Linked DNA regions of Ovis aries. The protein of the gene in region 2 binds, or shares a complex with, the protein of the main gene of each other region. Links are inferred from orthologs where the notes say so. Each region holds a gene or a part of one and is shown on either strand. Other genes may lie near its edges.

Evidence for each region.
Region 1: the proteins of PER2 (region 2) and CRY2 are in contact, whole or in part, in a crystal structure (PDB 4U8H), measured with the Mus musculus proteins. The link is inferred for Ovis aries from reciprocal best matches to the Homo sapiens genes PER2 and CRY2. Residues at the interface, in NP_035196.2 of Mus musculus: Tyr1132, Leu1134, Gln1135, Asp1136, Pro1137, Trp1139, Leu1140, Met1142, Ala1143, Asn1144, Thr1145, Ile1149, Met1150, Met1151, Thr1152, Tyr1153, Gln1154, Leu1155, Arg1158, Asp1159, Leu1160, Val1163, Leu1164, Asp1167, Gln1168, Lys1170, Leu1171, Leu1174, Gln1175, Ser1177; in NP_034093.1 of Mus musculus: Trp58, Ser63, Ser64, Val65, Lys163, Leu166, Thr167, Lys169, Arg170, Glu215, Leu216, Gly217, Phe218, Asn330, Pro331, Ile332, Cys333, Ile334, Gln335, Ile336, Pro337, Asp339, Asn341, Pro342, Glu343, Leu345, Ala346, Lys347, Ala349, Glu350.

Annotation. Positions count from the first base shown.
Region 1 is NC_056068.1:74,829,779-74,833,581, reverse strand, and holds part of CRY2 (cryptochrome-2), read right to left. Parts: intron 3,573-3,803; coding exon 3,432-3,572; intron 2,173-3,431; coding exon 1,861-2,172; intron 1,659-1,860; coding exon 1,507-1,658; intron 1,391-1,506; coding exon 1,188-1,390; intron 903-1,187; coding exon 810-902; intron 1-809. UniProt on the Homo sapiens protein: Transcriptional repressor which forms a core component of the circadian clock.
Region 2 is NC_056054.1:3,068,488-3,072,290, reverse strand, and holds part of PER2 (period circadian protein homolog 2), read right to left. Parts: coding exon 3,700-3,803; intron 512-3,699; coding exon 1-511. UniProt on the Homo sapiens protein: Transcriptional repressor which forms a core component of the circadian clock.

The DNA.
Region 1 (3,803 bases), on a different chromosome or scaffold from region 2:
GGGATGAGCACACTCTCCCCTGTGGAGCCCACCTGGCCAGGCAAACTAAAAAAGCTCTGTAGTTCTCTACAGTATGAGCTTGCCAGTCTTTGTCCCAGAGCTGAAGGGCAGAGGTTAAGAAGGGGGCAAGTCTGCCTACCCCTCACTCCTGCCACCTCCTGCCTGGATGACTCGTCGCCCCTAAGCACCCGCAATCCTCGGGGGCTCCTGCCCACGCTGTGCTCTCCGCATACACACAGCAGGCAGAGTGAGCTCTTTAAAACATAAAGAGGTCACGCCTCTGCCCTGCTGACCCCGTCAGCGCCTTCTCCCTGCACACGAGGGAACGCTAACCCTCCTGTGGACGCGGAGTCTACACGGTGCTGCTCTGGCTATCCATCCTTGTCTTGCTCCAGCTCGTCGCTCAGGACACGCCAGCCCCACTGGCCTCCCTCCTCTCGTTCCTGGGATGGGCAGCTCGCTTCCTTCTCTGAGTCTTTTCTTGCTGCTCCCTTTGCCTGGGATGCTCTTCCCCCTCTTCTAGGAAGGCTGGCTCTGCTCACTACGTGGGGCCCTGGTGCTCCACCTGAAGTCACCCCCCTCCCCAGCGCTCTCTTAGCAGGTCATTCGGCTTGATTTTCCTGCAAAGCACTTGGTATCTGACGTGATCCTGCACGGTTCCTTTACCATCTGTGTCCCCGGGGGGAGTTCAAGCTCCACTGGGGCGTAAGTGTTCTGGTCTCCGTCCTCAGCCCCCTGTGACTGAAGCAGAGGTAGCTCTGCAGTGCCCCTGGGATGGGCACAGGCCCCCGGAGGCCAGCTGTACTCACCCGCACTGCTTGAGCTCCCTGCCTGGCTTGAGCTGGGCTCTGCCACTGGGGTGCTGAGGTCTTCCACACAGGAAGGAACAGATGCCAGCAGACCTGGGAATGAGGCAGGGGAGTAATCGGAATGCAAACTCACAGGACTGAAGGGGCAGGTGAGGACAAGACAGGGGGGTCCTAGGTTCTGTCTCTCCCCACTGGCTGCAACTAATTCAGCCCAGCCTGAGCGGCCTGTGCCCAGGAAGTCAAGTCAACAGCCTGGAAGGCAGCGCTCGGTGGTGTTCCTCTGCAAACATCTGGGAATCCCCAATCCCACCCCAGGAGCCCGGAGGTGCTGCCCCTGTCTGGGGATGAGGGGATGTGGGGGCGGGGGTGGCTCCTTACAGAGTCCCCGGTAGCGGGAGAGCTGCTGGTAAACTTGCTTCATCCGCTCGATGTTGAGCCGGCTGGCCTCGGCGTGGTTGACGATGGGCCTGGGGTAGTCCACGCCAATGATGCACTTGGCTGCCTTCTGAATGGACTCTGGGGCGTTCCAGGGCTCATAGATGTACCGGGAGGGGAACCCTTTCAGTTTGGGCAGGTATCGCCTGAAACGCACCCACCGGACGACCTGTCAGCACGCCGGGAGCCTCCTCCAAAGGCCAACTGTTTCTCACCCAAGGAGGAGGCTGCAGTGGTCAGAGTGCCTGCTCTGCATCCTCACCTGATGTAGTCCCCACTGGGGTCCGTGCGGCGGCCAAAGCCCACCGGGCAGTAGCAGTGGAAGAACTGCTGGAAGAAAGCACTGCAGGACAGCCACATCCAGCTGCCGGCGTTCACGCTGAAGTCCGCGTCCAGGAGCAGCTCATCGAACACCTAGACGCAGGCAGGAGAAACCAGGAGCCTCCAGGGGGGCCTCGACCATGGTTCTCCCCCAGTCACCACATGACCCCCAGGGAAGGGTGTCAAAGCCTTCTGCTGTGGGCAAGCCAAGAAGGATCTGGAGGGAATTTCCTGGACCCAGGGGCCCCAGCCCACCCCCCAGCCCCCACGGGGGCGGCCCGCTGAGAGCACTCACCCGGACCCCGCTCTCCCAGCTGACCCAGAGGTCCCCGCGCGTGAGGAAGCAGGCCACAGCGTGCCGGGCCAGGTGGTGGATCCAGCCCTCCTGCCTCAGCTGGGCCATGATGGCGTCGATCCAGGGGAAGCCTGTCTTGCCCTCGGCCCACTTGGCCAGGGCCTCGGGGTTGCGATCCCAGGGGATCTGGATGCAGATGGGGTTCCCCTCCATGCGGTCGAACCTGGGGTTGTTGGTGGCCGCCGTGTAAAAGAACTCTCGCCACAGAAGTTGCCCAAACAGGGAGAGTGGGGGCGTGCTGTTCCGCTTCACCTGGGGGCGGGGACAGCACACGGGTATACACGCGGGCCTCGCCCCTGGCACCTGCCCCTCGGCCTCCCCACAGAGGACCGGAGCTGCCACCTCCACCCTCGACGCGGGGAGGGGCCACGCCCAGGAGAAACGGCAGAAGGTGCCCCCAGAACCCCGCGCCCTGGCTGTGCCCACTGCTGCTCTGAGCACCAAGACGGCAGGCGGCAGGGATGGTGCTGTGGGACTCGGGGCTGGGAACTGAGCTCCCCAGGCTGGTCACGACCCCTGTCCTCAGGGGCCCCTGTGTAACTCTTTCTAAAATGTCAAAGGGGGTCTTCTCAACAGCACACACACAAAAACGCTCAGTCTAGATTTTGGTTAAATACGTGATACCCGAAGCCTGGATCTGGGGCCATGCGGGAACTAAGACCCTCCAAGCGAATGATGCATGTGCTCATCACATCCGAGCTCTTTTCAGCCCACGGACCGTAGCCCCAGCCTCCTCTGTCCCTGGGACTCTCCAGGCAAGCACACTGGAGTGGGCGGCCATGCTCTCCTCCAGGGGATCTTCCCAATCCAGGCATCGAACTTGTGTCTCCTGCCCTGGCAGGCAGATTCTTTACCACTGTGCCACCTGGGAAGCCTCAAGGGAATGATACTTTTCCTAAAATCACAAGATTACCCACCGAGTGGCAGAGCTACCCCAGGCCACAAAATCGGGATACTGGTAAACGTAAGGACACATGAAACAACGCAGATGTGAGGACGACCTGATGAATCTCAGGAGCTGGAGGTGTGGCCCTCTCTCTTTGTGGGGGCAGGTACATTACCACAAGGTGCTCTGCCCGTTGCCCCATCCGGCCCTGCATTTGGCCCTCTGGTTACTTCCTCATCACTGATGGGCAAGCGCCATGAGACAGTCTGGACACCACCCCGTAGCGGGCCACTGCGCTCCTCACCTCAGGACTGGCTCCAGCCTCACCCGTCCTGCCTCCCGCCCTGAGGGCTCAGCCCTCACCACCCTGCTGCTGGCAGCTCTGCCACCCCGGGCGTCTCGCCCTGAGGCCGGCCTGTCCAGCTCCACTTGAGAAGCTGGATGTGGTTTCGAGTGGAGGTTGGTGCTGTGCTTGGCTCCGCCACCTCTCGGATGTGGCCTGCTCCTCACTGTCTCTGGACAGTGCCCACACTTTAGCCAGAGGGAAGGCCTCCCTGCATGCTGACTGGCCGGCCCGGAAGACCCTGGTCCGTCGGCTGCGCGCGGGCGGGCTGACGGCCCTCACCTTCCTGTACAGGTCCCACAGGCGGTAGTAGAAGAGACGGCAGGAGAGGCACCCAAAGCGCAGGTAGGGGCTGAGGCCCGTGGGGCTGGCCAGCAGGGAGCTGGCGTTCATCCGGGGCCTCTCGTAGCTGGCAACCCAGGCCTGCAGCAGAGAGAGAGGACGGAGGAAGGACAGGCTGGGACGCTGCTTAGGAGCGAGCCTGATGCAGCCGGTGGTTAAGGAACCTGCTGAAGGTCGCAGACCGGAAAGCCAAGGAGCCAGGACCAGAGTTCTGCGCACGTCCCACCCCTTCAGGCCGGCGCGATTTCTGATGGAACCACCACCAGCCAAACAATGGGGCCCAAGTTCTCACCCTGACTCTGTTTAATTTGT
Region 2 (3,803 bases):
TCGGGCTGTGAGGCAGGAGGCATCTCAGATGCAAAGTTCCGCTGGTCGGGGAAGAAGGCTGCGGGCAGGGCTGGGGTCACCGGGGAGAAGGAGAAGCCAGGCAAGACCAATGCCACGACGGGGGCCACGGGGCCGGCGAACGGCGGGGGCTGGGCCCTGAGCGCCTGGTGGGCGTCCATGGGCACCGCCAGGTTGGTGTGGGCAGCCCCGGACCCTGTGGCCACGGTCCCTGGTGCGGGCACTATTCCTGGGGCTGGAAACAAGGGCAGGGAGTACGCTGGCACTGGGTCAGGGAAGGGCACCGCTGGGCAGCTGGACTGTGACGTGTCCGACAGGGACCAGGCCGTGGTGTTCAGGCCGACCAGTGGGGGCCGCTGGGGCGCCAGCCCCCCAGACCCAGTGCTGCCCGAGGAGTCGCGAGGCTTGACACGCTTGGACTTCAGCTTTCGGTTTTTCCCGTTTTTTTTCCAAGAGGAGTCTATTCCAGAGGTGTTTCTTAGTCTGGGAGCAGCTAAAATAATAGCGATACAATGAGAGTTAAAATCCTTCAAGCTAGGATTCAGCAGTATGTGAACCAAGAATTTCCAAATATAAAAGCTGGGTTTAGAAAAGGCAGAGGAACCAGAAACCAAATTGCCAACATTCACTGGATCATAGAGAAGGCAAGGAAATTCCAGAAAAACATCCGCTTCACTGACTTTACTAAAACTTTGACTGTGTGAATCACAACAAACTGGAAAATTCTTAAAGACTTCGGAATACCAGATCACCTGACCTGCCTCCTGAGAAACCTGTATGCAGGTGAAGAAGCAACAGTTCGAACAGGACATGAACAACAGACTGGTTCCAAACTGGGAAGGAGGACATCAAGGCTGTATATTGTCACCCTGCTTATTTAACTTATAGGCAGAGTACATCATGAGAAACGCTGGGCTGGAAGAAGCAGAAGCTGGAATCGAGACTGCCGGGAGAATTATCAATAACCTCAGATACGCAGATGACACCACCCTTATGGCAGAAAGTGAAGAAGAACTAAAGAGCCTCTTGATGAAAGTGAAAGAGGAGAGTAAAAAAGTGGGCTTAGGATTGGGAACTCATGTACACCTGTGGTGGATTCATGTCAATGTATGGCAAAACCAATACAGTATTGCAAAGTAAAAAAATTAAATTAAATTAAATTAAGAAAAAGAGAAAACTAAGATCATGGCATAAGGTCCCATCACTTCATGGCAAATAGATGGGGAAACAATGGAAACAGTGAGAGACTTTATTTTTTTGGACTCCAAAATCACTGCAGATGGTGACTACAGCCATGAAATTAAAAGATGCTTGCTTCCTGGAAGAAAAGCTATGACCAACCTAGACAGCATATTAAAAAGCAGAGACATTACTTGGCCAACAAAGGTCAGTCTAGTCAAAGCTATGGTTTTTCCAGTAGTCATGTACGGATGTGAGAGTTGGACTATAAAGAAAGCTGAGTGCCAAAAAATTGACACTTTTGAACTGTGGTGTTGGAGAAGACTCTTGAGAGTCCCTTGGACTGCAAGGAGATCCAACCAGTCCATCCTAAGGAGATCAGTCCTGAGTGTTCATTGGAAGGATGGATGTTGAAGCTGAAACTCCAATACTTTGGCCACCTGATGCGAAAAGCTGACTCATTTGAAAAGACCCTGATGCTGGGAAAGATTGAAGGTGGGAGGAGAAGGGGACGACAGAGGATGAGATGGTTGGATGGCATCACCAACTTGATGAACATGGGTTTGGGTGAACCCTGGGAATTGGTGATGGACAGGAAGGCCTAGCGTGCTGCAGTTCATGGAGTCACAAAGAATCGGACAAGAGTGAGGGACTGAAATGAACTGAAAGGCAGAACCACTGATCTCATCTAACCTCATATCTCAACTTTACAAGCTTTTAAAAAGAGATGTTTTTAAGACATCATTTTTAAGAAGAGATGTTTCCTGGTTCATCTGCCAAAGGAGCCTGGGTCCATGCCTGTGGAGTCAAAAGGCTGAAGGCACACAGGTCTTCCTCTGACACAAGACCTGCTGAGAGGGGCCGTCCTCAGGAGGCTGTAGGGACTCAACCTGTGGTGTGGGGGACACAGGGCATGTCCCCCCTCCTCCCCTGGGCACTGGCCGGGACTGGGGGTGCTGTGGGCCAGGGGGTCACACTGAGCCTGGTGGGTGGGGCACAGGCAGTGGGAGGGCCCCAGGAACCTCAGGTTTTCTTCTAATGTCACAGAGGGTAACTTGGGGGCTCTGGCAGCGGGCGTGTGGGGCTGGCCCCTGCCAGCTGTGCCACATACCAGGGCAGATGGGCCGGCCTGGCGCGAACGGCCACGCGGGTGGGGGTTCTGCCGCCAGCCTGTCTGCCTAGTGCTCTTCCTGCAAGAGTCCGTCTCCCGCTGTGACTGGGAGTTGCAGTGCTGGGCTCCGGGTCTGGGCGGGGCTGCTGGGGACAGCTGGGCGGCAGGGGCACTGCACAAGCTGCTGGGCCAACAGGGCTGGCGGGCGCCGGGACTCTGCACCAAGCTGGGGCTGGGGGGCGCCGGGACTCTGCACCAAGCTGGGGCTGGGGGGCGCCGGGACTCTGCACCAAGCTGGGGCTGGGGGGCGCCGGGACTCTGCACCAAGCTGGGGCTGGGGGGCGCCGGGACTCTGCACCAAGCTGGGGCTGGGGGGCGCCGGGACTCTGCACCAAGCTGGGGCTGGGGGCCGCTGGGACTCTGCACCAAGCTGGGGCTGGGGGGCGCCGGGACTCTGCACCAAGCTGGGGCTGGCGGGCGCTGGGACTCTGCACCAAGCTGGGGCTGGGGAGGTGGGGCCCTGGCTTCTGATTTCCAGAGGTTCCCTGTGTGCCTTCAGTAACCCTGGGTCCAGGTAGGAAGGAAGAAAGAAGAGCGGGAATGGCATAATCTTCAAGAGCAGGGCCAGCTTGTCACTCCTGGGACACCCGTCTCGGCACATCTGCCCAGAGGCCAGGGGCGCTGGGCCCTCGCGGTGTGGGCGCCTTGGGCTCGTAGATCTGATCCTTGTTTCGGGGCCTGGAGCCCAGGAGAGAGCTGGCATCTCCAACCAGCTTGGCCCTGACCGCAGGGCCCAAGAAGGCAGTTGGGGGTTGGGAGCCCGGCTCCTGGACCAGACGAGGGGCGAGGAAGCCAGCCTGCTCCACCGCAGCCCCGTGTTGGCTCTTCAGACCCCCCACGCTCTGTCTGGCCCTGGAGTCTGGGCCCCAATGGCAAGGCCAACCCGCCAGGAGGGTGTGCATTCTGGGGAGAAAGGGCGCCCTTTCCTTCTGCAGCATCATCTGGGATCCCTGCTTCCTCAGGAGCCTGACGTCAAATGCTCCTTCCCTGGGTGATGAATTCGCCCCCTTGGTTCTCTGAGGGAGGGAGAGGGGTGGGGCCACCCAGGCAGAGAATGCCTGGCAAGGCAGGAGGACAGTTGCCCGGCCCTGTGCTCCACAGTGGGGGAGGTGGGCCTGTCACCACTGTTTATAGCACGGTTCCCTTGGGAACGCAGGTGACATCCCCAAGAGTGTCACTGCTCAAGCTCCAACAGCATCTTACAAATGCAGGTGTCCTAAACAGGGGGCGCTCACCATCTGAAAGCCTCACGGGACGCAGTAGCGTTAAGAACAAAGTTTAAAAAAAGAACAACAATAAAACCCACTTTTAGTTCAGACGTCATCACTTACTCCTGTTGCTCAAGTGCCCCTTGGGCCTTTCTTGCAGATAATGATGGCAGCGAGACTGGAAAACGTCGAGTTTCCTGATTTCCCGGAACCGCAGCAGGAAGCTC